3 linked regions of the Drosophila melanogaster genome follow. The gene in region 2 interacts genetically with the main gene of each other region. Each region holds a gene or a part of one and is shown on either strand. Other genes may lie near its edges. The genes, in order: mus301, mei-W68 and pds5.

What was found.
Region 1: of mei-W68 (region 2) and mus301, changing one suppresses a phenotype caused by changing the other (phenotypic suppression), as found in Drosophila melanogaster (one study listed by BioGRID).
Region 3: of mei-W68 (region 2) and pds5, changing one suppresses a phenotype caused by changing the other (phenotypic suppression), as found in Drosophila melanogaster (one study listed by BioGRID).

Annotation. Positions count from the first base shown.
Region 1 is NT_037436.4:8,134,058-8,144,822, forward strand, and holds mus301 (mutagen-sensitive 301), read left to right. Parts: upstream 1-3,750; 5' UTR 3,751-3,779; coding exon 3,780-4,575; intron 4,576-4,634; coding exon 4,635-5,087; intron 5,088-5,144; coding exon 5,145-5,350; intron 5,351-5,425; coding exon 5,426-6,028; intron 6,029-6,547; coding exon 6,548-7,426; intron 7,427-7,498; coding exon 7,499-7,633; intron 7,634-7,694; coding exon 7,695-7,778; 3' UTR 7,779-7,957; downstream 7,958-10,765. Other genes in the region: Setx (senataxin), read right to left, coding at 1-1,760, 1,835-2,912, 2,974-3,156; CG13676 (uncharacterized protein), read right to left, coding at 8,574-10,653. UniProt on the Drosophila melanogaster protein: Single-stranded 3'-5' DNA helicase that plays a key role in homology-driven double-strand break (DSB) repair.
Region 2 is NT_033778.4:19,451,707-19,461,634, forward strand, and holds mei-W68 (meiotic W68), read left to right. Parts: upstream 1-4,463; 5' UTR 4,464-5,269; intron 5,270-6,265; 5' UTR 6,266-6,345; coding exon 6,346-6,712; intron 6,713-6,770; coding exon 6,771-7,399; 3' UTR 7,400-7,817; downstream 7,818-9,928. Other genes in the region: CG7744 (uncharacterized protein), read left to right, coding at 983-1,083, 1,140-1,508, 1,841-2,495, 2,547-3,464. UniProt on the Drosophila melanogaster protein: Required for meiotic recombination. Together with mei-P22, mediates DNA cleavage that forms the double-strand breaks (DSB) that initiate meiotic recombination.
Region 3 is NT_033778.4:12,026,247-12,038,148, forward strand, and holds pds5 (precocious dissociation of sisters 5), read left to right. Parts: upstream 1-1,738; 5' UTR 1,739-1,986; intron 1,987-2,048; exon of another isoform or gene 2,049-2,306; 5' UTR 2,307-2,328; coding exon 2,329-2,409; intron 2,410-2,470; coding exon 2,471-2,856; intron 2,857-2,919; coding exon 2,920-3,127; intron 3,128-3,185; coding exon 3,186-3,354; intron 3,355-3,417; coding exon 3,418-4,159; intron 4,160-4,223; coding exon 4,224-4,487; intron 4,488-4,544; coding exon 4,545-4,638; intron 4,639-4,700; coding exon 4,701-5,546; intron 5,547-5,611; coding exon 5,612-5,748; intron 5,749-5,809; coding exon 5,810-5,889; intron 5,890-5,950; coding exon 5,951-6,216; intron 6,217-6,288; coding exon 6,289-6,579; intron 6,580-6,642; coding exon 6,643-6,735; 3' UTR 6,736-7,479; downstream 7,480-11,902. Other genes in the region: Mppe (metallophosphoesterase), read right to left, coding at 1-353, 477-739, 796-911, 977-1,002; CG8321 (uncharacterized protein), read left to right, coding at 7,889-8,186, 9,242-9,464, 9,530-9,632; CG43191 (uncharacterized protein), read right to left, coding at 9,983-10,137, 10,193-10,321, 10,431-10,841, 10,907-10,919; 128up (upstream of RpIII128), read left to right, coding at 11,177-11,218, 11,351-11,471, 11,525-11,902.

The sequences.
Region 1 (10,765 bases), on a different chromosome or scaffold from region 2:
CTTAAAGCTATCAAATTCAGGTGGAATGGGCATTAAGACATCTTGTTCAGCAACCGCATCTACGCTGCCATGCTTTAGCCATTGGTTAGCCCACTTTAGGATACTCCGAGAGTGCTGGCGTATGTCGTTCACTGGTTTATTTTCCCTTCGAATCCATTCGCGGCGTTCGCGGTAGGAGCTGAGGCGGAGCTTTATGCACTCCTTGCGGCCCTGAACCTTAGAACTGGCTCCCTTAACCCTTTCGATACAGTGTACTTTCACATCATCGTTGAAATGCACCTTACGCAGTTTCTTTTGTAGCTTCTTTGAGTCTTCGGCTTTTTGATGGTAAAGCTCCATTTCAGCAAAGGTAACTTTGTTACAAGTGCGCTGATTCCTCGCCAGCTCCGCTTCTTTCCGTTCTACTGGACGCGAGCACTGTGGCTGCGGATGCAGAACAGCTTTATCAGCTGCTTGGAGCTGCTGTGAGAACGTTTCGATAGCGGGTGGTTGTTTGGGAACTGGTTTCTTTGGTGGTGGCTTAGCGTTATCCGTCTTTGCCAGTTTTGGGGCTGGGCCATCCACTCCTTTCGTTAAAAATCCGCCACGATTGGTGTTTTGAACGGTGGGAACACTTGTAGGATTCTTTCTCTTATTGGTTGTTGAACGATGACTATTTTCCTTTGGTTTTTCAGACAGCTTCTTGAGGGCTTCGCGGCGGCACTCTTTTAGCTTTTCGTCTTCTTTTTTCTTGTCTTTGGGTTTCTGCTTCCATTTAGCGTTCATTTCGGCTTGATAGTCAATAAAACGCTGGCGATCTAGCACCTTATCTTTAACTTTCACCTCAGCCGAGACCCCTCGAAGCTTACCTCGATTTTTGGGCAAGGATGGAGCCTCAATCACAGAGGGGCCGCGTGTCTGTCTCACATCAACAAAGTTTAGAACGTTGTCTGTAGTGTCGCTTTTAGTTGGAGATATATCCTTAATCACCTTCTTGGCAGGATCTTCGGTTTCCGAGATCACCAGACGATCCATATAGCACGATTTTGATCGGTTGAGCAGCCGCGCATTCCTTTTAAGAGGACTTTTAGTTGGAATAGGGATTTCTTCGTTGGTCTGTTTTGCTGGTGAAATCTTTTTATTTTCCTCAGCCTCAGCTGTCAAGGATCTTATTTCATCACGGCTGTGTATTGTCTTTCGTCTGCCGCGAGTCTGCGTTGCTTTTTTTTTAACACATTGGGTTTTAGATTTAGTAGGTGTCGTTAACATTGCTGGAGCCTCCAGGGTTACTATCAGTTCTTCCTTACTATTATCAACACTTTCATATTTCTTCTTAAGGGGCACTTCATTTTTGGTTATGTGTTCATCCAATTCCACAGGCCTATCTATATAACAGGATTTTGAACGGCTGCGCAACATTTTTTTAGGAGGTTCCACATTATTTTTAGGAGCATCTTTGATTTCTTTTGAAGTGGTAGATAACTCATCCCGAGAAGTGGTCGATACGAATCGCTTACGGGTTGAGGTTTTGTTAGTCTCAATCTTTTGCGGACAGATATTAGTTGGTTCATTTCGGGATGCAACTATTTGCTCGCGCTGACGGTTTGAGCAACTTTTGGTTTCCGTCATATTTTCCATGTTATCTACTGATGTCTTGGTCGGGCTCTTTAAGCACGACTTAAGCTTAGAGTTTAATTTTGTCTGTTTATTTTCATATACAGAATCAATAGATGAGACGGATAATTTACGAACAGCTGGAAGATCCGGAGTCGTGCTGTCGGCTGTTTCAAAGATAAAACAATATAAATATTGTTACTAGTCATATTAATAATAGCTAATTTATTTGTATACTTACCCTGCCGCACAACATGGTCGTTTGGAGATTTCGATTTGGAGCGCCTTCCCTTTTGTTTTGTTTGATGGACAATCACTTCGTCTGCAGAGTCTTCGTCACTGGAGGATGAGATCCGCAGTGTCCTTTTCGGTTTTTTTGCTCCAATATCTAAGTCTGAGTCTGAATCTTTGTGTTCATTCTCTAGCGGATAGGTCTGCGACATTTCTATGACGTCTGGTACCACCTTTTGGCTTAGCAGCTTTGACCAATCCGCCACCTTATCGTACAGCTCATCGTCATCGGAATCGCTGACGTAGACGATGTCGTCGTAAGCTTGGTTCGATGGAGAACCTTCAGGCAAGTTTCCCATGCCATTGGTCAGCAAGAAGTCTTCTTCGCCATCACTTACGTGCATTTCGGCCTTCATTTCCCTGATCACTGCCTGAGACATGGCGAAACTCTCATCGTATTCTTCCTCGTCGTCTACTTCCCGCTCTGCCGAAGGGTCTTCGGCTTTCTGCGCCTCCGAAATGCTCCTCCTATCCGTATCCGTGTCCAGTTCTATACAGTCGCCGTCGTGTATTTTTTTGCGGGTTATTTCATTGTTCGCGGTCTTGTTAGTTAGCTTGTTGTACAGATATGGATTTAGTTCCAATACAGAATTCAGAATAGCGTCACTTGGTTCACCAAAAATGTTTTGTATCTCTTCGGAGGTATGCTTTACGATTTCCTGCTTAACTTCTGTTAGTTTTGGTAGATGCAAATTGGAACTCGAAGGTAGTACTTCCTCTTCCTGGCCGGGGTCCTGTTTGCCGCCAAAGTTTGGTATTTGCTGTTTCAGATTGAACTCGGTGGGCTGAGTGCCAGTGGGGCATCGCACGGCGGGCAGTGGTGTTGTATCGTCATCGTCGGACGACAGAACGATTTCCTCGACTACCGGCTCCTTTTTCTTTAGGATGAATATAGCATGTATGCCAGTTATTTCATTTAGGTTGACTCCCGTGACTCCTAGGCTGATTGTGGAGCCCTCAGCTACTGCCAGACGGTTGATCTTGTCGCCCAATTTGCCCCCGTTGATGAAGAGCCCATTCAGGGGGTTCTGTGATAAAAGCATAAACTATTAAAAGCATGTACATCTTAGGTGAGCTGCAATAACCTACCAGAGACTCAACCTCAACGCCCTTTTCGCTCACGATGATATTGGCGTGCTCCCGGGACACAAATTGGTACTGTCCACCCAAGATTATCCTGCAACGCGAGTGGCGACCCATCAAATTAGTGCCGTTGTGCAGGATGAGCCGTGCGCCAGTGGTCACATGTTCCAGGTACCACACGCTGCTCATCCTGACCAACTGTTACGTTACACTCGTACTCAACTGAAGGAAATTGTGAAAACTGCTAACTTTGAGTGAAAATTGAACATTGAATGTGCGCGACGCTTCATGCACTTACTATAACAACAAATCTGCCAAGTGGTAGTGAATTACTGCATTGATTGTTGGATTTCTCTATGCAAATACAAAATTCCCGTAATAAGAAACATAAGTATTTCAATCTACTTTTTAAAACGCGAAGGTGTTCTGGTATTCAAAACCCGTATTAATTACGTTTTTTAAACTAGCAACAAGACGCACTTTTTGGTCAGCGGTAAACAGTAAATGGCAGTGCTGTTAAACGAATTAGGGGAGTGCAACGTTAAAGTACATTTAAGCCGGTTGTAATTATTTTGTTAGCGTAGCTCTTAAAATTTTGCCAGATTTTGCCTATTTAATAGGAAACACGAAAAGAAGAAAATCGTATACCGTAAATGTTATATTTATAAATAAAAGGAACGATCGTTAGGGAATACGACTTTATCAACACTTAAGTTGAGACACGATCCCGGTTATAAACTTGGCTTACATGCTGCAGCCCTGGCCTGAGTTTTCCTTCATTTTCACGCGAAGTTCACACTATTTCGCGCCAAATGGCAAATAAGCATAATTTGTGCAAAAAAAGAAGTTTGGATTTGAGCGAGGAATCAACAAGCGAAAGCCATGCCAAGCGTCAGTGCACCGAAAACCTCTTTTGGCCGGAGGGCGAAGACGACGACAGCTTCTTTTCCAACGCGCATCTGGAGGATTTGCTGGACGGACGAAAGGAGGAGCTCTTTGGCACGCAAGCAACCACAAGTACCAACAAGATGACGCAAAGTGGGTCGGATGATGGACTGGGACTCTTTGCGGACACATCCTTTCCAAGTGCACAGAGTGTTCCACCCAACAGTGCCTCTAAACCGGATGAAGCCAGTGCACCAACTGATAAACATCAAATCGACCTGGCGGACGAGGAAAACGCCGACAAGCTGTTTAAGAAAATCAACCTCAACGATCTGAGCATTGCCGAAATGGAGGATATTTTCCATGGCGCCGATGATTTTAGTGATCCCATGGTTCAAAACACACAACTCTTCTTGGACGCAATGACCTTTAAGAAGCCCAAAACACCAGAGAAGCTACTGGCCCCCCTTAAAGACGATTCCATGTCTTTCATTTCCAAATCTGTGATTGAGGGCCTAGTGCAGGGCACTCAGTATGTGACCTGCGAAGAGCTGAAGAACCAATCCCTCCTAGATCCAGTCAATTGGGAGACTCAGGCTTTTGCGGACTTCGAGAAGAATAACCAAGATATAGACAAGTTTCCCAGCAAGGGCGAATTCTATGGCCTGCCGGATAAGGTCAAAAAGATGATTCTGGAACACAAAGGCATTAATAGTCTTTATGGTATGACTGCTAATTGAAAACCAATATAAGCTTAGTTTACGATCCCATTAATTCCGCAGAATGGCAGGACGAGTGCCTAAATCTACCTGCCATCAGGCAGCGCAAAAATCTGATCTACGCTCTGCCCACAAGTGGTGGAAAAACTCTAGTAGCCGAAATCCTTATGCTGCGTGAATTACTTTGCCGCGAACGCAATGTGCTGTTCATCCTGCCATATGTGTCGATTGTCCAGGAGAAGGTGAGCGCCATGTCTCCATTTGCAATCGACCTGGATTTCATTGTGGAGGAATACACGGCCGGCAAGGGCAAGTGTCCGCCTCAGCCGCGTCGCAAAAGACGTAGTCTCTTCATTGCCTCCATCGAAAAGGGAGCTGTTCTAATGGACAGCCTGATAGACGTACAACGTCCTCATGAGATAGGTCTGGTGGTGGTGGATGAACTGCATTTGATAGGCGAAAAGGGTAGAGGGGCCACCTTGGAGGCTTTCCTTACCAAAGTGATGTTTCTAAATGGTAAGTGGATATTTTGTGGTACTTTTTGTACAGATTAATGGAATTTTTGTTTTCTAGCCAATATTCAAATTGTTGGCATGAGTGCCACAATAGGAAATCTCAGCGAAATATCCTCTTTTTTGAATGCTGATGTATACACCAGGGGCTTTCGCCCAGTTGAGCTAAAGGAGTACATCAAATGTGGCCCCGATTTGTTGGAAATAAATTCGGCTGGTCAAACGCTGGAGGAGATATTCGTCCCCAGTCGCAGTGTAGAGTACAATGTAAGGAATATTCGAATTAGACGTTTGGAAAATGTTGCCGAAAGTAAAAGATTTTGATCTAATTTTTATTTGCAGTACAGTGAAGCCGTCAAACGCGCCGATCCCGACCATCTGGCTGGTTTGATAAGCGAATGTGCTCCGGAACACTGCTGCTTGGTTTTCTGTCCTAGCCGCAAAAACTGTGAGAACGTGGCGCTACTTCTCAGTCGCATTGTGCCAAAGCATAAATTTTTTGAGCATCGGCGTAGCGAGAAGTTGGATCTAATGGATGCCCTGGACAAGATGTGCGGCATACTCAGCCCGGTGTTGGCGAAAACCCTACCCTACGGGATTGCCTATCATCATTCGGGCTTGACAACCGATGAGAGGAAGTACATTGAGACTGCGTATAGATTTGGAGTCGTCACAGTCATTTGTTGCACCTCCACTTTGGCTGCAGGGGTCAACCTACCAGCCAAGCGGGTAATCATACGTGCTCCTTATGTGGGTCAAGAATTTCTGACTTTGTGCAAGTATAAGCAAATGGTGGGACGAGCAGGTCGCGCCGGATTGGGTGAAGCTGGCGAGAGTATCCTGATAGCCCAGAGCAAAGACAATCTGCTGGTCGGACAAATGCTTTTCTCGCCTATGGATAAGGCTTTAAGTTCCTTGGATCAAAATGAGGCAGTTGGACTGCAAGTAAGTTTTTAATTAGCGAAAATTAGGTGAATTTTTTACGCAGATCTTGATGAGAAAGAAAATATTAATTTTGTTAAAACACTCATTTTGCATTTTATCGTTTGTTTAAACGTAAAAATTTCCGGAGTTTCTCTTATTTTATTTACTATTTTTTTACTTACACCGATGAATATTTCCTTAAATTGCAATTATTTTTTTAAAATCGCAGATTTTTATGTAGTTTCTTGCTGTCACTGACTTCCTAGGCGAAATCTGTTTAAAGACTGAAGAAGGGAAATGAAAAGTGTTACCTTTACATTTTTCTAAACAAAGTGACCGCGTCCTAACTACCAAATTTGGCCACATCCTACATTATTGCAAAATGTGCTTTTAATTTTGCTGATCCCTTCTATATAGATTTGTAATTTTTTTTTCAAATTGGCAGTAATGGGACAGAAGGCAGTTCTATCTCTTTTTATGCTTTTATTTGATTAATCCAAATTACGATATGCATAAACATAATATAATTTTTTTCCCTAGTCGCTTATTCTCAGCGTGGTTGGCTTGAATTTAGCAGAATGTCGTAGAGACTTGAATCGGCTGGTAAACAGCACACTGTTGTCTGTGCAGGCCAAATCCCTGGAGGTGGCCGTGAACGAGATCGTGCTCCGTATTCTCCGAGAGATGTTCAAAAATAAAGTGCTGCAGCTTGCCGAACCGCAGGCGAAATCTAAGATCAATTCTTCGGATATTATAACATCGCAGGATGTTAGTCAGGCAAATAGGCCCGCTGGCGATCGACGTTTGCTCATTGGACAGTCGACGCCATTTAAGCTGACCAATATTGGAAGAGCTGCCTTCAAGGCGGGCATCGACTACAAGCGTGCAAATGCCATTCACAAGGAGCTCAAGCAGGCCCAGCAGCAGCTCATTCTGACCAACTACTTGCACCTACTGTACCTTGTCGTGTGCTTTAACTCGAACGAAAGAGGAGACGAGTTGTTTCCGGCAGATGCCAGCATTCTGTTTGGAGTTTACACCTCGCTTCCACTGGACTCGCAGGCAATGTTCAAACAACTTGGATTTACAGAGGCCCATGCAGCTAGGCTATTTAAGACGCAGTCGGTGCAAGGTCCATTGTCCCTGCAGCTGAATCGCCTCTACAAGGTGCTTATTCTGGCGGATATACTTAACCTCCTACCGATTCCCTCCGTGGCCAGCAAGTACAACGTGGAGCGGGGAACTCTGCAGCATCTGATCAGTCAATCCACAGCAGCGGCGAGTGCCATTGTTCGCCTGTGCGAGGAGCTGGAAGAGTTTTGGTGCTATAAACCATTGTTTGAGCGGATCTTGCACAAAATGGATCGATGCGGCACATTTGAGCTGGAGCCGCTAATGGAACTGCCAGCGGTTAAGATCGTGAGTGGCAAAATAATCTTGTCCTTAACAGAAAAGTAGATATGACTATTCCAAATTGCATTACTCTTCTAGAATCGTGCCAGGCAGTTGTATGCTGCGGGTTTTCAAACCATTGGGGATATAGCCAGAGTGAGGCCGTCGCACTTAGTCCAATCCTTAGAGCACATGCCGCTTAGAGTGGCCACGGAAATTGTCTCGGCAGCAAAGGTACACGTTGTTCTTTTGATTCTGTAACCCATTTAATAAGCTTATATTGGATTCCTTCTAGATAATTTTAATGAAAAAGCTCGACCACCTGGAAGAGGAAACGGAGAACCTGAAGGACTGTTTAAAAACGTCTGATAAAAATTAGCAGGACGTAAACACAAGTAAAAACAGCAGCTTAAGTGGGTTTTAAATTTATTTCAGTTTTTGTTTTGATTGTTATGCACTCCGATTTAAGTCTTGCATCTGGGTTCTCTACAACGAACACGATCTCCGACGAAGCTTAAATATTATAGACAATTTGTATGCAAATTGCAGTTTTAAATTAACACATTAGGTATTTTTCATTCTATATGTAAATCAAGGACATCAATGCATATTTTCCTTATTGTTCTGTTCTGCTGGATATTTTATGTTATGCTTCTCGATTAATTGGACATAATCAAGTAGGAGGGAGTTATTTTTATAAACTACTAGATACGAGCTAGCAGACAAATTCGCAAGCTGCTACTATCACGACATTTGAGTATTATACAACGTATATATAAGTAGGGGGGTTCTGGACATATATAGCTCATACAGCAAAAATAGCATAATCGATCGAAGGTAAATTTTGAAAAGAGCTTTCTGCAGAATGTACCCAAAAAATTCTCAGATAAATGATTGCTGTAGGTTATCATCGGTTATGTTGTTTTTCGGCGGCTATTGCTTCATATGTCCCGAGCCATTTCGAATTACGAGTACGTTTTGTGCGGCTAAACGACTAAAGTAGACACAGATTTGTTTAAGAAGTTGGAGCCGTGCACCAAATTGGAACTCTCCTTGTGTTGGGGAAACTTATTTACAGCTGAAGAAACTGAAAACCAAAGATATGACACCATTTTACTACATATGCTATGCTATGTTATCAAACTAAAAACGCACCTTATTACAAGCGAACTTTTCAGTAGGCAAAGTCATCGTAGAAATGCTGGGCAATCCGTCCGCCCAGCGGCTGGTGGCTCCGGCTCACTCCCGACCCGGAGACGGCTCCTCCGCTGGAAGGTCCGCCGGCTGCTCCTCCGGCAGCAGCGTATTCGAGTCGATGTGGACGCGCGGTTTGCGCCGGGACAATAGCCCGCCTGCGTATATCTGTCGACGAGAAATAGGAATCACTATGATAGCTCGCTGCTTGCGATGCGGATGCAGGGGCGGATGCTGAAGCGGATGTTGGTGATTGATACGCTGGCTGATAGGCAAATGGATTATAGGCGCTAGCATATTGCCGCTGCGATTGCTGCTGCTGCTGCTGGTATGGAAGCTGATGCGAATGAGGATGCGGATGCTGGGGCGAGAGCGGTTTCAGCGTGGGATCGAGCGCATCGTTCAATGTCACATCGTAGTCGTTCTCGTAGAGCTCGTCGAGATTCAGTTTTGGTCGCTGCGGTTCCACACGCTTAGGCGTGGCGGGCAGAGCACTGCGAGGCGGGAGTGTCGTTCTGGGTGGACTGGGCGATGGAGGAGCGTCCTCCTCGTCATCTTCACCGCTATCAGGATTACCCCTCAACAGAGGAGCCCCATGCTCGAGCAGACGCACTCCCGAAATGGTGGAACCCATGTCGATGGGCGTGCTATCGGTGGTTGGCAATGGTTTTAAGGCCACACCCACCGGCTGAAGGCCACGGGGCAGATATGGACTGCCGCCCCTGGATGGTAGGAAAGGTCTCTTGACCACACGTACCGAGGAAGGACGTTGGGAAAAACCAGCGCCAGCGTTTCGCCCGCTCAATGAATTTGCCCGCGATCTGGGTGCAGGTGCTTCGTCCTCGACGGCTTCCACTGGATGCTCCAGCTCCTCTTCGTCCTCTACGATTGGTTTGCGTGGACGTGGTGGCGCTGTGGGCTTCCGGGTAGTTGTCTTGGCTCTCAGTCTCTGGTTTCTCAAGGGAGCTGCTGTGGAAACGGGCGCTGGACTCTCCTCGTACTCCTCATCCTCGAAGTCCACATCTGCTGCTGGGACACGGGACCTGGGGGCCAAGGGACGCTTGCGCTTTCTCAGAGGTTCCGGCTCCGCCGGCTCATCGTACTCCTCATCGACGGGCTTCTTGTCTGTTACTGGTTTGCGCAAAGTGGTTCTGGTGGGCTTCTGCTCAGCCCGAGATGCTGGCGTACGTCTGCGAGGAGTGTTTCTAGCTGGAGGCTGTTCGTAGTCCTCCTCCACCTGCTCTTCAGGATAGTCCTCCTCCTCTTGGGCACTGTTGGATGGTGCCTGTGTGGTGGCCGTGATCTTTTGCACTGGATAGGAGAATTTCTTCTTCTCATTGATGGGAACAGGTCGCGCAATCCTTGGCGGAGCTCGAGGACGAGCATAAACGGAAGCGGCTGCCGCCTTCGGAGTGATAAATTCTGTCAATGGCTTTGGAGTAGTCTTCACTTTTTGAGGCGTTTGCTCCTCGGCGGCCTCCACCTGATCTGCACTGTTATAGGGCTTTTCATATTCATCTAGGTCGTCCAGTGCGGATGATGGAGTTGTCCTCTCCTTTTCACTTCGCCTCCTGCCCAATGGACGATCTTCGTTGAAGCTGCGTCGTTCCTCCACTCGTCCTGGTTTCCGGGGAGATATCTTTCGACCCGCCGTTCCTGCAGTGGGTTTTCCTCTTGGTCTTTTACTTGGTCGCTCGTCGTAGTCCTCATCCAGTGCCTCCTCCTCATCGCGGTAACGATTCCTATTGCGCCGGATGGGTTTCTTGGCCTCCGTTCGCTTGTCATCGTACTCATCATCGTACTCCGGCTCCACTTGGGGCTTCCTTTGACGTGGTCTTGGCTTTGGCCGTCTCACGGGTCGCTCCTCGTAGTAATCATCCTCGTACTGATCCTGATCCTCGTAGTAGTAGTCATCGATGGGTCTGCGATTGTAGGGTCGTCTCAGCGGACGCTGTGGTCTCTGAGGGCGACGACGAGGTGCAGGTGGCAGAGTGGGTGGCGCTGGCGTAGTTGTGGTACTCGTCGACGTGGTAGTGGTGGCCATATAGAGTTCGTCGTTTCTGCAGAAAGGTGGAAATGGTTAGCATTAAATATTACTATTACTATTCAAATTATTCATATAAGCTTGTAAAGATGCTATTAAGAGATTCCCATTTCAGATTACTTTAAATT
Region 2 (9,928 bases):
CCTGACATAACATTAAGTTTTAATTAATGTCAATGAAATAAATACAAAGTTTAATCGAAAGATAGTAGCTATGTTGAAAAATGTATTAAAAGGGAATACATTTTTGTCCATTTTATCACATTAAACTCAGTTGAAAAGATATCTTCCAGTATAATCTTGCTGGGCTTAAAAATAAACACCAGATGTAAGCCAGATACAAACTTTGAAAAATTTAAATAATTAAAATTTTTTTCTAAATTTAGGAACTATAAAGGTACATTTTTTTTTCATTGTTAATAGTGTATATATTATACTCTTACTAAGCAGATCCTGTAAATTCTAGCGACAACAAACTGTTAACAACTATTTTTATATTATTATTATAAGCTATTGACTGACCTATTTCGATGTTATAATGTCCACTTCTTTGGGAAGGATTTACAAAAATAAATATTACAATATTTATTATATTATATTATATATATATATAATTATATTATAATATTAATATATATTAATATTAATATTATAATAATATAATATAATAATTATTATAATATTATAATATTATTATAATATAATAATTAATATTAATATTATAATAATATTTATATTATAATATTTACAATATTACACAAATATTATTACAAAATAAATAAATAATAAAAATAAAATAAATAATAAAAAATAATACGAAAAACAACTTACAGTGTGTTACCACCTTAACATTTCGCCACAGCTCTCCTCAAAGGCCAGAAAACATAGGATGCACACTGTAGAAACTATCGCATCGCCTAACTACTGCCATCGCTAGAAGTTCCGCTGTATTATTTTGTGGTTATTTTCTGCGCGCGCTAATGCCGACTTGCATGCCGGCGTTGCGTTTCGTTTGGAAAAAGTGGATCTCTAGCTGGCATTTGGATAGCTAAGTGACTCCGTGACCCACAGAGGCACCAGCTTGACTGCATAGATAAGCGTGACAGATTACCGAAATACTAAAGCGATGCTAACCCTACTAATTCGGCTGGCGGCGACGGCCATACCTGTTTGTGCTATTCTCTTTGTGGCCGGCACGTTTCTGTTCAAGGTTTATATTAGCATACGGTAAGTGATGCATTGAGTTATAATAGTCCAGACTAACTAACCTGCAATGTCTACAGATCCCGCTACGACGCCCGTGTCAACTGCTGGTTCTGCAATGGCAATGTACGAGTTCCGTACCAGGATCGCAACAGTTGGACCTGCCCGTCATGCGAGCAATACAATGGATTCACCAAGGACGGCGACTACAACCGGGATATTACGTCGCAGCGGGACTGCAGCCTTGGCTCCCAAAAGAACAGCTCCAAAGGCAGCTCCAGCATCTGTGCCAACTCATATTATTCCGATGTCCTGACTGCTCAACCTCCTGCTCCCAAAAACGGCCTGTGCGACCAGTGCAACGAGGCGCAGCGCCTGAAGGTCGAGAAGCTCTCTCAATTCGAGCCCAAGAACGAGTCCCGATTCGATCAGGAACTAAAGGTTTACAGGTGAGCTGTCATAACAATAAGCATTATATATACAATGTTATGGTATCTATGTTTACTAAGAATCAAGCAAAGTAATTTAGCTTGATGTGTTTTATAAATGAGTTAATCGTGTTTAAGTCAAGCAAATAAGATATACAACAAACATACAAATGTATGTCTGAATATGATCTAAATACCCGTATCTACATCGGTTTGCAAATCAAAGACAAGTTAACTAGATTAGATAGTTTCTATGAGTAAGCCGATTTATAATTTATATCTATTAATAGAGAACCTTTAATATAAAAGCTGGGGCACAAGTTATTAAATAATAATATTTATGTTTTCCGTAGAGAACGACTGGAGAAGCAGTTTCGCCTGTGTAGCAGCTGCGAACGACATGTGAATAAAGTCCTGCACGAGAAGAAGAAAATGGTGTTGAGCTCCAAGTTCTTGAACTATATCATCAAGGGAGCATCGTTGCTCAAGCAGCCGCACTTCAACCGATTGGCCGCTGCCCAAAAGCAGTTTAAACTGCAGCGATACCGCATTCTGATGACCATCCTGACTGTAGTCAATATTTTGTGCCTGCTCTGCCGGCTGCCGAATGCAACTTCCATTCAGTTTACGACTTACCTTGGAAAATTCATTGGGCTAACCTTGTTCTACGCCTACTCCCACGTGCTGGCCTTAATTCGAGTGGTGACTTCGAGCGTAGGCATTTTCCTGGAACAGCGCGAAATGATAGCCAAACTTTTATTGTATGGCCGTACCTTTGGCAAGCTCTTGCTGTATTCGCTTGGCATAGGCCAACAGCAAGTGCAGCAAGCAACCTTCGCATCCTGTTTTATTGGGATCTACCCATATGCCATGCTGGCCCTGTGTTTCCTGCACACGATATACGACGGATTGAAATTTACGCGATTCACCATTGCTCTATTGTTATGGAGTGGGTATGCCATGGGTATCGAATTCCTGGATCCTTACATCAGTGGAATATCCTTTATAGTAAGTGCATTTACTTATATTTGAATCTTATTTAACAAATTCTTTAAACAGCTGGTGGGAAGTTTTGTAACCCTTGTTTTGTTGGCCACCAACCGGACCAATCTGTTGAGCCAAGTGAATCGGGACGAGTCTGCCTGTGAGAGCTTCCATCGCCTCTGTGCGGACGAATGCGATGATGAAACGCTGAGCATGCTCAGTCAGCAGTTAAGTGGATACAGTGATATCAGCAATAGCAATTTGTCCATGCGAACCGCCTCTGTGTGCCACTCACCCGCCCCAACGATTTCCCAGCGAACAATTCAGGCGCCTGCTTCTTTGCTGTCCCTGGACTCGTTGCATCTGTCGAAGCAACGGATGGAACAGCAGGCTTGGTCCTCGAACTATGGAGATGCCTCTACAGTGGTTGCCCCGCGTGTCCAGCCGGCGATGATGTTTCAACAGAAACCCATGAGACCATTAGAGTCCCAATGGTATCGCCATGGACAAAGTAACCTGGCCCAAGGCAATACTTTCACTAGATCCACGCAAAATCTTTTGATGCCATCGCGTTTGCCGTCCATAAACAGGAACGTCGGCGGAGCTGATGTAAGCGCCTGGGTGGCGGCCAATCAAAGTGTGAACCAAGATCTATGCACTGCCAATCTAATGAGACATTACGAAGAGAAACAGCAGAATCAACTTTCCCGCACTTCGTCACAATCTTCTGGATTTGAGTCGCAGCCACGTCCAGAAGCCCAATGCGGAACAGGTGCTGCAACTGTAAGGGACTACGGCTGGTCCGAAGCCCGTGAGAGTCAGCGAAATTTCGCAGTTTTTCCGCCAATGCCGTCACCTACACCCACAATAACGCCTAGTGAATATCAATACTCGAGGACTGCTCTTCCGCAGCAACAGCCAACTATGCAGCCGGGGGATTTACTTAGGAAGTGGATTGAGATTAACTCAAAATCCTCACAGCCAATACACTAATGTGATGTGAGGTCATAAATATCTAGAAAAACTTAGAAAAAATTCTGGAAAAGATCACCGCCAGTTGGGAAATTATATAAATTTGACTTAACTTAATTATCAAATAATTTATTTTTGACTTACAGTTTTTAAGCTTCTTTATTCTACTAAAGGTTAGTCCTCCCTTTACTTATAATCGACTAAATAAGTAGTGTTTAGCTAGACATTCTTTAATCTGTGTAGCTCTAAGTTTCGTGGTTTTCAATATAGAACTTTTCAGGGAATTGAAAGTCAGGGAGTAAGATTAGAAGGTAATATAAATACTACTTGATTTTAAAGGGAGAATAAAGCTTTGGTAACTAAGTTATTTATTCATTGAAGACAATCATTCAAAGTTTGTTTTTATCGTTAACTAAACTTTTGTGACTCACATAAACTAGATAAATTGTTTATTATACAAATACATATTTTTTGAAATAAAAGCAAAACAAAAAAATGGTTATTATTTTGTTAAGTTAAGTGCAGTTATAAGAAAATATTCATTATCAAGTTAAATTCAATAATAACAGTGACCTGTCTTTTTGGTTGTTTTTCTCTTTTAAAAAATGTTATATTGTTCTCTTAGATTTCAGAACACGCTCTCTTAGTGCAGTGCTGCCAGTTGGTTAACGGCGCGGTGTAGAAATCAAAGTGGCCGTTTCCAAAGTCGGCACGGCACTTCAAAAATTCATACATTTGCCCCTGAAAGTATGTTGTTTATGTTGTTGTTAATATTGAACAAATATATTATGAATTTAAATTATCTTAATAAACAATTATGTATATAAGGTTGTGTAGCCTCTAACCATTCTCGAATGTAAAATTTAGCTGGTTATTTCAAATTACACATTAATCAATCAGTCTGTGGGCGCGGTTTTTAGATGACAGCTTGCTGTATATTTAGTATATAAGTAGTAACAGGAGAAAAAGTTTAGTATTTTTGAATACCGTCCAGCTGGCAACACTGCTACAATATGGCTGCCGTATCGTAATGTGAATTTTTTTGAGAGACCGAGACGTACATACTTTTGTTGCTGCCAAAGTGGATGTGGACGGAGGAAAATAGTAATATTTAACTGCGTTGCGGGAGCGGGACAATCGTCGTTTGCCAATTGCGGCCACCGCTTATGTCGGCTAATCGGCTATCAATAATATTAGTAATCGTATCAATATCAAGTTACCCATTACCCATCGCGGATACACATTAGTTTTGCGAAGGGCAGAGCAGCGCAGAGCATATAGCGAATATTTCCATTTGTTGCCAACAAGACTGTCGTTGTTGTTGTTATTATTGTGGCTTTTCAGTGACTGGGGAGAGCAGTGGGGGTGCGTTCGTAATCCTTGTGAAAAATCGGTGACCGTTCTTCTTAAAAAAAAAGCGAAAGAAAAAACCATCGCGATAAGAAAATATAAGAAAGAAAAATCTGATTGAAAACCAAAGAGCTGCTGCTACTGCTGCTGTGCGAGTGAGAGCGGTCGAGAGGTAGCTAGTGAGCGAGTGAGAAAGCTATGTATTGCATTTGCATTTCGTTGTGTGTGTCGTCGTTTTCGTTCGGTAAAAGTCGGTAAAAAGCAGAGCCTTTCCAAACCTAACCACTTTCGGGTAAACGGAATCGGAAAAGGAACTGGGAAAATCGAAAGAAATTAAATAATAATATGCGTTACATCGATGGCAACAACAACAACAACAGCAGCGACCATCAGCTAGCGACTCCTCTCTGAGCGAGAGAGCTAATAGCTTTTCAGCTTTAGCTTTTCTTGGGCCAATCGGAAATTGTATTTCATTGGTAAGTACAAGAAGTGGCAGCACCATAACCAGCAAATCAATACTTGGGCTGCCATTCCGTTTCGTTCCGTTCGTCAGTTTTCCTAGCCCATTCGTTGGCGCTCTCTCTTTTCCGTCAGTCTCTCTCTTTCTCTTCCCCAAAAGAGAGCGAAAACCCCCCGCCCGCCCACACTCGGTGTATGTGTGCTTTGTAATAACGAGTACACTTTTCTGCACATACGAAAAAGAAGGAAAAAAGAATAATAAAATAAGAAGAAAAAATGAAAGACCGAATAAAGAAATTCACATAAACTTATGGCACTCTCCCTCGCGCTCTCTTCATTTGCAACTAGTGTGCGTGCTTAAATTTTTAAAAAACAGTTGTTTTCACCGAAAGGGAATTTTCATTTCGATGGTATATTTTTAGCCAGCAAGCTCCTTTCGGAAATTATTTATAACCCCCCTCGAAATGTTTCCACGCAACGATTTACGCGATAAACTTTTACAAAATCAGATATAAGTAAGTGCAAAGACCACTTGATTTTCGTATAGTATGTAAGTCCACGAATTGCTTACGTATTTATGAAATATTACTGTGCGTAGGTCGGTGGGCGTGTTTCAACGTTTTAGCCCACAGTTTTCACTCATTTTCCTGCGGGGTTTCCGCTTGTGACAAAGGCATTCAAAGAACCAACAAGAAAATCCCGGGGGCGTGGCACCACCCATGCAATTAAATTAGACCAAAAAAGTGCTTACACTTTGTATTCTAGAGAATGTTTCAAATCATTGAACATAAACAGAAGAATTCATGCGAATTTAGAACTAATGGAAATTGGGAGCAAGGATACATAAAGTTGGAGGAATTCAAAAATGTAATTGTTTAAAATTTAAGCGTTAGTAACCAAGTTCTTGTTAAAATATATGCCGCTTAATTAAGTTTAAATCTGTTATTCACAAGTAAAATTATATTTATTATTAATTTCTCTTAATTTGGATATTAAAAAACCTCATTTTGTAGATTGCAAGAGTACGAAATCAAGAAGACGTACATATTTGTTGTTAAGAATCCGTTCCTAATATAAGTAAATTGCTAGAACAATGGATGAATTTTCGGAGAATATAGAAAGAATTGCCCTCGAGTTGCTGAGCAACTTGGTTCATGGCAATGCCACTCTTAGTGTTCCCCGAAATTCATCCGGAAACGTGATCTCGGAATATCGACGAGTCAGCTATAATAATCGCGGAAGTCGCCATAGCTTTTGCGTGCTGATTTACATGCTCTCCCGGGTGCACCGATTGCAAGTCCGCGGAGGAAGTTTCACCGTCCGTGGACTATACTATGACAATCCTCTGCTAGTCCGGTCGCAGTCCAGGATTGCCGAAGCCAGGCTAGATGTCTGTCGTATGCTGAGGACATCCCCCCTAAGCTTGGGCATACTGGCCGCCTCCAAGGGCCTGGTGGCAGGTGAGTTTATCTCGAAATCCTGATCAAAGGCTCCCTGCTCATCCGGTTACTCTTGCAGGCGACTTAAGGCTGCTGATGACCAACGGAGACGTTCTGGACAGCAGCTTGTATGGTGGACCTCTGACATTGCCCACGGATCCCGAGAAGATAGATCGAATCGAAACGCTGGCGGAATTTGTGCTAATCGTTGAAAAGGAGTCGGTTTTTGAGAGTCTCTTATCCAGAAATGTATTTGGTACTTTTGAACGACGCTTCATCCTTATAACTGGAAAAGGATACCCCGATTGCTGTACCCGGAGGATTGTCCATCGGCTCACCGAGGAGAACCAACTGGCGGCCTACATTCTCGTTGACGCCGATCCATTTGGCGTCGAGATAATGCTAGTCTATCGCCATGGCTCGAAGTCCATGAGTTTTTCCAGCCAAGGACTAACCACACCTGCGCTGCGTTGGATTGGTCTACACCCCTCGGAGATTCCCGCACTCGGCACTGGAGCGGTTGCCCTGGTTGCCGGCGACAACAAGAAAATCAATGACCTCCTCGCCCGCCACGATTTGGAGCCGGGAGTGCGGCAGGAACTGCGCATGCTGCAGGACGTTCAGCTGAAGGCCGAAATCGAGAGTGTCATCGACTTCCTGACCGACGACTATATACCAAATAAAATCAATCGGAACTTGTTTTTGTAGAGTTCAGTGGTAAACCCCATAAGCCAAATATTATTACTCTTGAAATATTATTAGTTAGTTTAAAATATGTTGTAGGTATAGTAATATAGTAATTAGTTTGTAAAAAACGTATCTCTATAAAGATACCATAAGACTCCTAAAAATAGTACTGTAAAAGTTAGTTCGCGTAATCAGCTTTCCATTAATATTTGAATTAATTAAGATAGTAATTTAATAATTAAATTCCCCATTCATTGGGATTCCGATTTTGTTGCTTATGTTATAAAATGTAATGTTTAATTTCAATGCAGCTTTAATAACGTCAATATAATATTACGACTAATTAATATTAAAGTACCTTAAGATCCTTGCCTTTAGAAAACATAATTTTAATATTTGGATAACGGATAATAGTAATTTACACTCGTAATGTCTGAGTAATCTGCTTCTAGTGTTTCGTATTGAGTGGTCAACTTGATTTTCTGCATTACTTTGTGTGGACGAAGCCAGTAAACTCAAGCAGACAAAGGAGATTATTTTTTTTATTGTGCCTCTAAAGTGTTATGGCTTGAGGTCGGTAATCGGAGCCGGTAATTGGCTACGTTTTTGATAATGGCAAGTGAATGGCCAGTCATATTATAGGTGCCGAAAGATACAAGTAGTCTGCTTTGTTTAGATCCATACTAATTGCGTGCATTTATTTCTTGCAGATGTGAAGGAGTACCACGGATGATAGAAACCCATTGGGCATTTGACTACTTTTAAGCACCGAAACCTGAAAGACTCCCGAAAATACTCGAATCTCACGTGCAGAATCTCTAAGAATCCCTATTGGACTGTTTAAAAATATGTCGACAGCAATGCGCACCACACTGCAGTCAGTTCCTGAGGCCCTGCCAGCGGATAGCGTGTCCAATGGCACAGCATCCAATGTAGCAGCACCGGCGGCGCCAGTATCGAGCGCAACAAACGCGGTGCCACCACTGGCCGCCGTCTCCAGCACAACCGCCACCTACGCCACCAACTCGATCAGCACATCCTCGCATTCGGTCAAGGATCAGCAGCAGCAACAGCAGCAGCAGCAGCATGATTCGGCCAATGCAAACATTGTGTCACTGCCACCAACGACAACGCCAGTCGCCAACACTAACACAATGATGCCCATTGTAACGTCCTCGAATTCGGCCACCAGCAATAGCACTGCGGCCACGCCCACGCCGGCCTCGGGGGCGGCAGCGACAGGTGGAGTGGGATCTGTTTCCCAGGGTCCAGCGACCGTTTCGGCGTCAGCGGCCAACACCAATCACTCGCACCAGCACAGCCACCAACACCACCACCATGTGGCCAACAACATGACCACCGACGGTGCCCGCTTGTCCAGCAACAATTCGGCGGTGGTGGCGAGCTCAGCGATTAACCACCACCATCACCACACCCCCGGCAGTGGAGTGGCGCCCACCGTCAACAAGAACGTGCTTAGCACCCACTCGGCTCATCCCTCCGCGATCAAGCAACGAACCTCGTCCGCCAAGGTGAGTCCTTCTTTGGGTTTCGTCAGTGTCCGTACCTATCACCCGTCCCCACGTCCCCTAGTCCGTTTTTTTGGGGGCCTTGTTCATCAACCCATCTCTTGTTTGCTCCTGCAATGTGGCTTGGGTCATCAGTTTTCTTGTGGTCCATTTATAGAGGGTATCAAGGGAAGGTAGCCTGTCGAAGGTGAAGTGAAGACTCTTAAAGTTTCAATCAGCTTGTTGAATAAGAAATACCATACTGCTGGATATAACTGATTCGAATCTAAGCTTCGCCTTCGTGTGTGTCAAATGTGTCGTACGAAAAGTAACGCTGTGTTTTGTCAGGTGGGGGAAATTTATATATAAATGCATTTTAAAAACGTATTTTAAAAATCATATCATATATCAGAATTATAAATCTGTCTGCTTATACAGTAACGTTTAGTTTTCTGAATTTTATCTAGAATAACTGATGTCTCATATTATGAGTAATCGAAACCTCGTATACATCTCATTGTTTTTCTTACATATATGTATCATCATCACTGTGAACACAGTTAAATAAAATCTATATCGTTGTGTACCGTGCTACAGTTTTAAATCGACAAGTTCAGTGAACTCCTTTAACACGACAAATGGGTTGGTATCCAAGAATATTCTATATCTGGGACCTATTTAATGAGTTGGACATATAAAAATATAACTGTCACCTTATTTACCTTTTTACGAAAACTTTGGGTGGTACTGTTACCGTTTATTTTGGGTACTTGATAATTGGTAGTTTAAATGATATACGTACATACTAAATGAGTGGACTTTGCTTCATTCGAAAAACTAAAAGTCTGAGTCAATACAGCTGACGACGTCCATTCAGAAGTGCAATTATAGTATTTAAACAATTCTCAATAATCACATCACGTCGGTCGTTCTATCTCCTCTCTGTTTCTCTGCCTTTATCTTTGTTGTCCACAACAAATCCGTGTGATTCGTACTCCTCTCCGCACAATCATATAACTGTTTTGATTTTAAATAATTTTTT
Region 3 (11,902 bases), 7.4 Mb from region 2:
GGGTAAATAAATATTCTGGATTCATGCCAGTGTCCTGAGAAAATGATATGTGGATCCAAGTCGCTGATGATGGCTCTCAACAGGGGTCCTCCGCCAATGAGCAGCGGGGCATGGGATACGCCAATTCTTAGACGATCCGCATTGTTATCCCTATCCGGGTTGCTAAAGTCCAATAGCATGCGGTTTATCTTGAAGAAGCGTAATCGATTGTCATAGTCAAAGAGGTCTTCACTCATGAATTCGTTCTCAAAGCGTCTTTGGTTCGAGTTGGATATGTAGTCGCCATTCTCGCCGCCAATATCATTGTCACCCGGCACATGGACGCGCTGAAAAAAGGCAGAGATCATGCGGAACTGTTAGGTTTTAAGGGGTCAATCCCATTCGCAAAGTTGTATAATCGCTTTGGAAAAACTTTAAATTGAAATAATTATAGGTGCAACAACAATTTAAGGTGAAGCAAAAGCAGTACTCCTTACTTTTTTGTAGTTCTTATTCTGATAAATTCGTCTGAACCGCTGAACGTACTGCTTGTACTCTTGAGCCGTGGCAATGTTGCCTTCGTCCAACAGATCGCCCAGGAACACTATGATGTGAGGCTGTGTAAAGGCAAGAGCTCGCTCGAAAGTCTTCGCCAGGTATCTATCCGAATCGTACCTGGCTAAAGGACTGTGCGAAGATCGATCGTAGGAGTTTCCCAGTATCTGGGGATCAGCAATAAGCAGCAGGCGCGTGCAATTATCTATGTGGGAAAAATAGCTTGTTATGATGCGACTCAAAAACTGTGTTACGGCTTACCTAGTTTGCAATCGATTGGCTGCCAACTGGACTGGGCCATGTAGTAAACTATAAACTCGTTGAAGAAGACCAGCAGCAACGTAAGAGCCACAAAACCGCGGCACACTAATCTGTTTCTTTCGGGGATTATGGAAGGATTAAATAGTTTCGGTTAACAAAAGTAACGTCAACTATGACCCACCTATTGACGACGCGCAAGGAAGCCATAATCCCGGCTATGCCGCATCGGTTTGGATTGCTTGATTAATACTTTCGGTTGTCCTCTGGCAAATGCAACTGGCTTACATTGCGTCTCTATATGTACAATCTATATTTAAATACGCACTGCCCATGCAATATTTACGTAAGAATGCTCATATTTTCGGGAATGTAGAGCTGCTGCAACGGACGGCGCACATCTGACCACAACCGGCCCGCATCATCGCTTTCAGGGCGCACACGCTTAATTGGATTAGAAAGCAAAACATCTAGAACGGCCGGAACGTTGTGTTGCGTCCATTACCACATTCCTCCGATGTTTCGCCAATGCGCGCCATTGGCTTTTGAACGCGGGCAATTCCGTTACAGCGTTTGCCGGCTCCAGGTGCCAATAATTGTGCAATTATCTTTATCCTATGTTTGCACTTCTTGCGCCGCGACGGCTATGTGGCAACGCTACAGCTGTTTGCCAAGCACAACAAACAAAATTAGAGGTGAGCGCGTGATTAGCACTAACTGAATGCTCAAAGCAAAACAAACATGATACTCAAATGTTGTTCTTAAGTAAATTTATAAATACAGTTTAATAAGTTATTTATATCCCGATTTCATTCCGATTATATATCCGATTTCGTGACACGACCCCTTCCGCTCTCCTCGCTAGCACCAACAACACGTCAATGCTAATCAGCTGAAATGCAATCATGTACTAATCTGCGAAGAGTCTGGCCACACTTCCAAAAAACCTCTGGCAACGCTTCGTGCGTGGATTAATGGCGTGCCACTCCACATAAATGCTCCTTGGTTTTTGCTTATTTTTAACAACATAAGCACCGCAAAAGACTCTTGTAACCGAACATGTGTAAATAGCTGGACAGGATCAATCCCATCCATAGTGCAGTGATTCGAAGGAGACGCGCGCTAAGCGGTCATCGAAAGCAGGGGTTCGCAAAATTGCAAAAAAATTGTGCCGCTTCCTGCCCGTTGTGAAAAGTAAGATTCCGAGTTCCAAAAACTGCGCCGCAGTTTAATATAAAACATTGGGTAAATTGCAGTGGCAAGGGCGCTACAATTTGGGCGCTCTCTATTTGTTGTTTGCGAAAAAGAAATAACCAAACAATATTGGCCACTCTGTGTGCTTGTGGTGCTGCTGCCCATGTGTGTGTGTGCTTGTGTGGAGCTTCGTGCTTGTGTGTTCGTGATGCCACCCTCCTCCACTTTTTCAATGTTATTTTGAGGGTCGCATTCGTTGTTGTTGCTGTCGCACGGAATTGTTGCACCTGCCACTGAATCCTTGAAATCCTGGCTTGCAGGTAGCTCCCATTGGCGGTGAGGATGGCGGACATAGTGTACCCCACCGGATGCCGGCCGCTGGTCGAGGATTTGGGCACAGACGAGCTGATAAGGCGCCTCAAGGTGAGTCCTGCCCCTGGTTCCCTTAGCAAAACTTCTCACTTAGAATGATTCTGTTTTACAGACCCTCGCCAATGTTCTGCAGACCATGGACCAGGACGACAATCTCTACCAGCAATACATACCATTGGCCCTCCATCTGCTGGACGACTTCTTTATGCAACATCCATCCCGTGATGTCCAGCTCTTAATCGCGTGCTGCGTGGCGGATGTCCTGCGGGTTTATGCGCCAGAGGCTCCCTACAAAGAGCAAGATCAAATCAAAACTATATTTAAGTTTTTTATCAAGCAACTGCACGGTCTGAAGGATCCGCGCGATCCCTCTTTCAAGCGTTACTTCTATCTGCTGGAGAACCTTGCTTTTGTCAAGTCTTTTAATATGTGTTTCGAACTGGAGGACTGCCAAGAAATCTTCCAAGACCTGTTTAGTACCATCTTCAAGATTGTCAAGTAAGTCGAGCTCTTCCTTTATCCTGCGAACTCTTTATAATCACATGTTATATAATTTTCTAGTGACCAGCACAGTGTCAAGGTGACTAACTTTTTTCTAGATGTGCTAAGCCCGTTGATCACAGAAGCCGACAATCTGTCGGTGGAATTGTTGGATCTCATTCTGATTAACATCGTAGAGCCGTACAAATCTAACAACAAGTTTGCCTGCCAATTAACAGAACAACTTCTCACTAAAACGGGCGATGCTCTCGAGTCCACCATCAAAATGGTAATATTTCGTTGATCTTTGGTGCACCACGTTATTCAACCTAATCCCTGATCTACAGTTCTTTAACCGTGCTCTGGTCATGGATAAGCCAAACACAAAACTGTCCATTACAAACAAAATCTATGATATCATTTACGAGCTTAACCGCATCAATGCAGGCTTGTTGTGTTCAGTGCTACCTCAGCTGGAGAACAAACTGCTGTCCACGGACGATGCTGAGAGGCTAAGTGAGTAATTTATCAGCATGTACCTCTATTTGCATATTAATAAACATATTTTCGTTACTACAGAGGCAACCACTCTCTTGTCTCGTATGTTCTCCGAAAAGGACTCGCAACTAGCGAAAAAGTACCCCAACCTGTTGAAAATCTTCTTTGGGCGCTTCTGCGACATCACCGAACCAGTTCGCATCAAGTGTGTTCAGTCATCCATGCACTTCCTGCTCAATCACCCAAGTCTTCAGCACGATATCACCGAGAAATTGCGGCTTCGAAATCACGATCTTGACGAAGTGGTCCGCCACGAGGTGGTAATGGCTATTGTGGAAACTGCCAAGCGCGACTTCACCCTCGTTCTCGAAGCGCCCGATCTACTAGAAATTGTGCGCGAGCGGACGCTAGATAAGAAGTACAAAATTCGCAGGGATGCGATGAATGGTCTGGCCTACATCTACAAGCGCGCAATTTGCGAACCCAACGATCTAAGCACTGGCCTTAAGGTCAGGGTTGACTGGATTAAGAACAAGATACTACATGGATACTACAAAGTGGGCTTGGAGGACCGCCTGCTTGTGGAACGCCTACTTATCACCTGCCTGGTTCCCTATAAACTAGCTCCGGAAGAGCGCATGAAGAAGCTATATCATTTGCTAGGCGATCTCGATGCCAATGCCACCAAGGCTTTCGTCGAGCTGCAGAAGAACCAAATGAAGACACGCAATACGGTCAGTGATTGGATCAAGCTACACCACTCTAAGGAGTTCACGCCGCGCGTACTTAGTCAGCTCAGCGCCAAGCAGGCCAACATTGCCAAGTGGGTTCTATAATAAGTTTTCTTTTGATAGTTTGTAACCAGTGATGTGTTTTTTTTTCTTCAGACTGCTTCCAGATCCCCTAAAAGCGGCAGAGTACCTAACCCAGTTTAGCAACAACCTGCGAAAAGATGCTCAGCTCCTACGATGCATTAACATTGTCCTTAAACGCGACGTAAGCTGTCGGGAGTGTGCTGACACGATGGGAGTTCTCCTGAAAAAGCTTGGCGCCCACGTCCAATCGAATCTGTATTACAACACAGTTAAGATGCTGATTGAGCGCGTGGCATCAGTGATGGTGGACAAGGAGTCTATTGGCGTACTTATTAGGTAAATTGCTTTTAAGTGCCCTTTTGCCAGACTTAATCCGGTAATCTTTTTGCTCAGCCTAATTGAACAATGCATCGAGAAAGGGTCCATGTGTGAAGAGATCGGAATTTCGGCTCAGGAAGCGGGCGAGCGCGGACTCAAGTTGTTGGCCGTGAGTATAGAGATAATTTAAGTTATGATACAGAAATCCATTTGATTGCTTTATACTTGCAGATGCTTTCATACGTCTTTTCGGCTCATTTCTTCACCGATACTTCGCTGCGTCATTTAATTTCCCTGCTCAGTTACGAGCAGGATTATGTTGCACCACTGGTGCTAAAGACACTAACTCATCTGGGGCGCTATCAGCCACTCATTGACGACCCTACACCGGCTATTCTCGACGAGCTGGCTCCGGTGTGCAAGGACTTCGCACTTATTGGAACCCCCAAGCAAGCAAAGCACGCGGTGCGATGTATTTTCGTAAACAGCCAGTCGTCGGCTTCCACTGATGGAGCAACAAGTGGAGCTGGAAGTGCGTCCACAACTACACAAACAGTGCATCCTATTTTCAACGAGATCATCGAGACGCTTCGCCTAAAACTGACACCAAACTGTGAGCATCAGCGCACAAAGATTGTGACCTTGGGTCACATTGCCTACAATATGCCACAGGCCTTCCTAACGCCCATTAAGAATATGATTGCGCGACGAATTGTCAAAGAGCTGCTTATCCAAGAAGTTCCTGCGCAGCGAGACTACGAACTGCCAGAGGACAGTGATTGGTGTGCCCAAGAGAAACTACCGCCGGACACTCTATGTAAGCTGGATGCGCTCAAGGCTATGGCCAGGTGGCTTTTGGGATTGCGTACCGATGAGCACGCTGCCCAGAAAACATTCCGAATGCTGGCGGCGTTTGTTAACCAACGAGGCGATTTGCTCGGCCAGAACCGTCTTTGCGGTGCCGAGAAATCTTGGCTGCGCCTCGGGGCAGCCTGCGCCATGCTCAAAGTGTGCGAACAAAAGGGCGTAGGTGATCAGTACAGCGCTGAGCAGTATTTGCAGCTTTCCCAGCTGATGGTGAGTAGAGACATTCATCTTGTGCTTAGAACTTAGTCTCAATGTCTATCTCGGTGTTCCCGTAGGCTGATCCGGTGCCAGAAGTTCGGGAAATCTTTGCTCGCAAGCTGCACAAAGGATTAAGCAGAAGTTTGCCCAGGAACTGTTTGCCGCTGGACTTCATGGGCTTGTATGTGCTGGCTGGTCTAGAGACTGAGAGGAAGTGAGTAGTTCAAGAAACCATCCGATCCGTTCGGAGAAGTATTGATAAATATTTTCAACAGATTGCAAGACCTTGTGCGTCACTATGCAGAAACGGATGTAAACAAACGGCGGGAATATCTCAAGACTGTGGCTATGACATGTAGGTGTTTTACTTTTGGAATCATATTGTGTATTTTAACCATTAAATCAAATTATTCCAGCTCCCGACAGCTCAACGGAGTCACAATCATTACACATACTACCTGACTACATGCTGGCTTTCGCTATTCCCGTGCTGGTCCACGATCCACGCTTCACGAATCACGAGGACTACGTACAGCTGCGCAAGATGGAGAAGTGCCTGCGTTTCATTCTGGAGCCGCTGATGGCCAAACGAGAAACGTTTGTCCATAGCTTCTACAAGCAGCTGCTGCAGCTGATAAAGCATCGCGAGTTCAGTCTGGGGTCGGACAAGCGCGACAACTATGTATGTCACTCAATCATTTTCCCAGGCTTTCCCTTCTAAATTATATTTATACATATATTTTTCGGTTATCAGAAAATGTGGGCGCTCTGCGATCTTGCCATGTACATTATCGACTCCAAGTTCAGTCCATTTGATGGCAACACGAGCACCTTTTCCATGCCGCTGGCTTTGCCAGAAATGTATTATAAAGAGCCTGCCGTTGCGAATTTCCAAAACAATGACGTCTATATACCGCTGGACGTGTATACGCTGGGAGCCAAATCCACGAGCAAAGCTGCCGCAACAGCAATGACAACGTCGCGAGCAGCAGTGGCTCCAAAGAGACCGGCGGAACAGTCAATCATGGATGATGAAAATCCGCAGGTGAGTGAGGTCCTTGGAAAATACTGAGAATGAATCTAACTAGTGTGTGAAATTTGATTTCAGGAGAACAATCTGTTCGACAACATACGAGCGGCTGACACTACGGAGCCCATGGCCAAACGAACGCGCGCAGGAGCCGCTTCAGCCAAATCATAGGGGCTGGGATGGCGCAGATTGGAGGTGGAGAGAGCGCATACTTGTTAGTTTAGTTATGTTTAGTCTAGGCGCCTAAGTTAACTAAATATTTAAGACGTAGGAAAGACCACGATAGTTGTTAAACCGACACTACCTTTATCCACACCATGCAACTCACAACTAAGCACCCAGAATTCGGATTGTTCAGTTTCGCATTCAGTATGTACTATATCAATTTTGTGAGATACACCAAAAACACAAACATCAAAAAAAGAAAAACGAAAAAAGTGTCGAAAAATCTGTTAACCGCAACTCTGTAAAAGTAATTATTTATCATTTAAAATGTTTTATCCTGTTCTTTTATAGTGTTTGATTTATTGATTGATTTTACCATTATTCTTAGACTATTGTATATCGAATAAAAAAAGGAAAGTATATCGCGCATAAGTTAAAGTACGAAGTAAAGTAATGAAAACGTAAACAGAGCCTTATTAAGTAATTAAAATTAACTTTTCTATGATCGCAGTTAATTTTTAGTTAATGTAACATCATCATAATACATACAATTGTCTCGTTAAATTCAACAAGTATGCATTCAAAATGCATTCAAAAAGAAAACCTAAAAGCGTAAGAATTGGAAAGAAAACTACAAAGATAAAAATAAAATGAATACACACATTAAACTATAAAACATGTACATTAAACAATTATTATGGTTTTTAAATTACAAATAAACGTATGATTATTATTTAAATGTTAAAATGGATATCGAAAATGGGCTTTTAGTTTAAATTATTAAAATGTTGTACTTTTTTAATATAAAGTAAGTTTAAAAAATGGCTAAAATATAATTTTTGTTTCTAACTTTTTTCTTTTCAATTTCAAAGTCGCTCTTAGGAGGGCTAAAACTAATTTGAATATTGATAACAAATGAACTATCGATAAGAGGCCGTCGATAGTTCACGGTGCAACATCAACTCTCCCATCACTAGTTCCAATTGCATTTTCTGCGTTGTTTTTTTTCGGGGGTGTGACGTTTTTCTTGTTGTTTTTGTGCTATTGTGAAATAAACCAAACAATTGTCGAGTTAAATAGACACTGATTGTTGTTTTGCCGCGCAGTTCGAACAACGAAAACTAATTCCAAACAAAGCTTACGCCGGCAAAACCACGAAATGCAGGTGGAACCAGCCGAAGTCGGCTGTGACGTCACGCATCGCCAGCAGGAGAAAAACAAAACCAATGGGATTTTCTCAACGGCAGTCAGAAGTAAAAAAAACGGGCAACCGAACGGACGGATCTACACCTCCACGCCGAAGACCTCGCATCCGAAACTTGAGCACTACGTAGGTGTTGCTAAACCCTCGGAAAAGGGGCGAGTGGGAGTGGTGACCGCCCTCGATCCGCTGATCAAAAAGGTGGCCCTTCTCTTTGGGACTCTTATCATTGGCTACAAAAGCGTCATCTTAACGAGTAAGTGTGCCAAGCTGGGGGCTAAACGTAAATATATTGTGGGTTTATTGGATTTCCATTTGTTTATTTCTGTATATCCCCGGTGTGGCGGGGGTGGGAATTCAAGGTTGCAATTGTCGGTTGCGTCGTCTTTACTCGCACTTTGTTTATATTCTCGCGTTTATAAATAGTTGAAGTTCGTGTGATCTCATAGCGGTGGTGTTTGTTCCCCCTGCATAAGCCGCCGAATAGCGAAAAAACGTCTATATAAGGAAGGCAAATTGTTTGATGCGCATTAGCCGTCTCATTTGCATACAAACGTACTGAAGACCTTAGAAAAATCGTCAAAGAGTGATTAGTTGCTTCATCTTTGAGGCAAAATGCCATTAGTTAGTTAATTGTTTGCCCAGCGGCTATTAGTTATTCATCTACGCTTAGCTTAACGGTATTTAGCACTGGGCTTTCGTCACGCGACACATACATGTATATTCTAATGTATGTAATATAAACATTAGAAGGTACCGCTAGAAGGCCCAGGAAAATAACGAATTTTACATTTCTGACGATATAGCAATCTTTATTTGCTGCAGGTTTTGCATTAGGGTGGCTCCAAAAAAAGTGCGACAAAAAATTTAATAAAGTTTAACAAAGCTCAAAGAAAAAACACATGTTTAATCAACTATTTGTTAAATAATTCAAACATATAAATTTGATATAAGCAGAAAACAAATTTTATACATTGTCGAGAAAAGAAATAATTAAACCAATACAAACGAATATTTATTTCCAATCTTTCCCATCGGTCCAAATCTATAAAAAGCGCAACCTTGCTATTTATGGTGTAACGAATGGGGTTTCTGTACATTTTTGCAAATTTCTTTGCCCACTAATTCTTTCCATTTAGCCAAATTGCTTTGATTCCCTCATAGCGTACATATCTGACTAATAAATTTGAACCACCCTAGTTATAAACCCAACATTTTGACGTGTTTATCACGCTAGGACTGATAACAGTGAAATCAATAGAACGACACTCAAAATGAGATACTAACGAGCTTTGGGCGTTCTCTTTGCAGTGCCATACATCACGGGCGATTCCATCCAGGTGCTGAGCCACCAGGTGCAGAGTAGGTGGAACGAGACCTTGGTGTGGGCCACCAGGCACCAGCTGGGCTCCAGGCTGAGTCCCCTGCTGTGTGGCCTTCTAGTGGCAGCTTTCGCGTACGGAATCGTGTACTTGGACAGCGCGGTGCCCGGCGTAAATCCCCCCTCGCCCTTTACGCCGCGTTCCAAGAAACGGTAAGCTCTGGGGAAATCACCTTTAATTATTCATTATAACATGGAGTCTTTACTTCAATTTGCAGTTTCCGCGAGGAGAAGACTGCCTCGATGCACTTGGGCTACTTGTGCGCCCTGTTCTGCGGATTTCTGGTCACGGTCTTCATGTACTTCGACTTGTACTCGTAGAACTGAATACCCATTTCCTTCCAATTAGTTCAATAAGTTCACCAGTATTAGACTTTATACGCCCACTTCGGAATTTGTATTTGTTGTAGTCCTTGAAACTGTGCAATGCTCCTGGAGAGAATCGTCAGGGGGCATTTTGAAGCTAACTTATTTCCTAGGTATATTAATTATAAGTTACTAACTCTATAAATTATTCATGATTTGTAAACTACAAAAGTACAAAATGAAACATTTCACTGTTGATTGGAGGCCAGGATCGAAAAGCTTAGGCTAGCATATTTATACCTTGTGAAAAGTACACTATCGCCTGGCCTAAAAATCTCAAGAAAACTGTATCCTTAAAAAATAAATTACTTTTGCATAGTGTTTTGCAATAAAATATACGAGGTAACATTTTCAATGCGCAGAAATTGCTGTTGCCAGTCAATGTCGCTTACCTGGTCAATCTTAAATGTTTTCAAGCGATTTTCGCCAATAAACTGGCCCACGAGATGGACAAAGCAGCCTTTTAATGAATAAAACTTTGGTTATGTAATGGTTATCAGTTTCCTGCATTTTACCTGGGCTCCAAGTACTCATAACGCCTTCGAAATCGTAGTAAATTCCCTGAAGGACGGGCCCCGATTCTTTGTTTCGCACGAGCAAGGTGTGTTCTCCACGTTTTCCCACAATGATCCGTAGCAATTTTCCTGAAAAACGATAATTAATGATTTAACTTGCCAAATTTAGCGATATTAATCATTCTGTTTAAAATGTATATAGTAATTTGATTTTGAATGTATTTCAGTTCAGACCCACCGTAAACATTCCAAATAGCATTAATTTCCGGATACATTTTTTGAGTTTTAAGGCAGAAATCCACGCGACCAATTAAACTAATTAAGTTTCGTCCTGGCTTCAACATCGGGGAGCTTGGCAACTCCGCTGATTCCTTTTTGGCTGACATTTCGCAACTGGATTTTTCCAGAATAATCGGTGATGGAACGTTCTCCTTTTTGGGCTGAACTTTCACAGCTTCCTCCACGAATCCATCGTATATTAGCTTATTATCCTTACGACAGACAGTTAGTTTTGTTTGCCGCAATTGGGTGCTATTTTTGCGCAAAAGTTCAGCGGCCGTTGGAAAACTGCGATTCAATTGCGAGACGTTGTTGGTCAGTTGGCTCTTAAATTGAGCTTGGTTGTTACCCAGAGGGGTGCGCGGTTTAACTGAAACAATGTTAATTTTTTGTTAATTTATAAATAGTTCTCAGTATTTAATTGCGGAACTTAACCTTTAGCAAACATTCTTGCAGCCATCAAATTGTAACGGCTATATTCCAATCAGCCTGACCATTTTAATTTTGTCTAAGAATACTTTTACGATTCGTTAAGTGTTGGCTAACGTTGGGAATCGACCACATTACTGAACAAATCGATTGTATCGAATACATATCGATTGCACCTCCAACTGTCCACGCGAGAGTTTTATATATTTTATTTTTACATGCATATTTGTTGATAACTGGGGTTTTCTGTGAACCGCGTTTAACTCTCAGCCAGCCATGAGCACAATATTGGAGAAAATCTCGGCCATCGAGTCGGAGGTGAGTGGAACTTGGAGTACCTGCCGATCTTACAGAAACTAACCTGTCTCGCATCCATTTACCCCGCGGATTCCCCCCTGGATTCTATCTAAATCACCGGGTTGTTGGACCACCTTCTCAACTGAATCCTAGATGGCCCGAACCCAAAAGAACAAGGCCACCTCGGCCCATTTGGGTCTACTGAAGGCGAAGCTGGCTAAGCTGCGACGCGAACTGATTTCCCCCAAAGGAGGCGGCGGCGGAACCGGCGAAGGTAGGCTCTTGGATATATAATTCAGGCAATCACTAAACATTATGTATTTCCAGCTGGCTTCGAGGTGGCCAAGACTGGAGATGCCCGGGTGGGATTCGTAGGGTTTCCTTCTGTGGGTAAATCCACACTGCTCTCCAACTTGGCTGGCGTTTACTCCGAGGTGGCGGCATACGAATTCACAACGTTGACCACTGTGCCGGGATGCATTAAGTACAAGGGCGCTAAGATCCAGCTGCTGGACTTGCCCGGTATCATTGAGGGCGCTAAGGATGGCAAGGGTCGAGGTCGTCAGGTGATTGCTGTCGCTCGCACCTGTAACCTCATTTTCATGGTGCTGGATTGCCTGAAACCGCTTGGCCACAAGAAACTCCTCGAGCATGAATTGGAGGGCTTCGGCATCCGGCTTAACAAGAAACCACCAAATATCTACT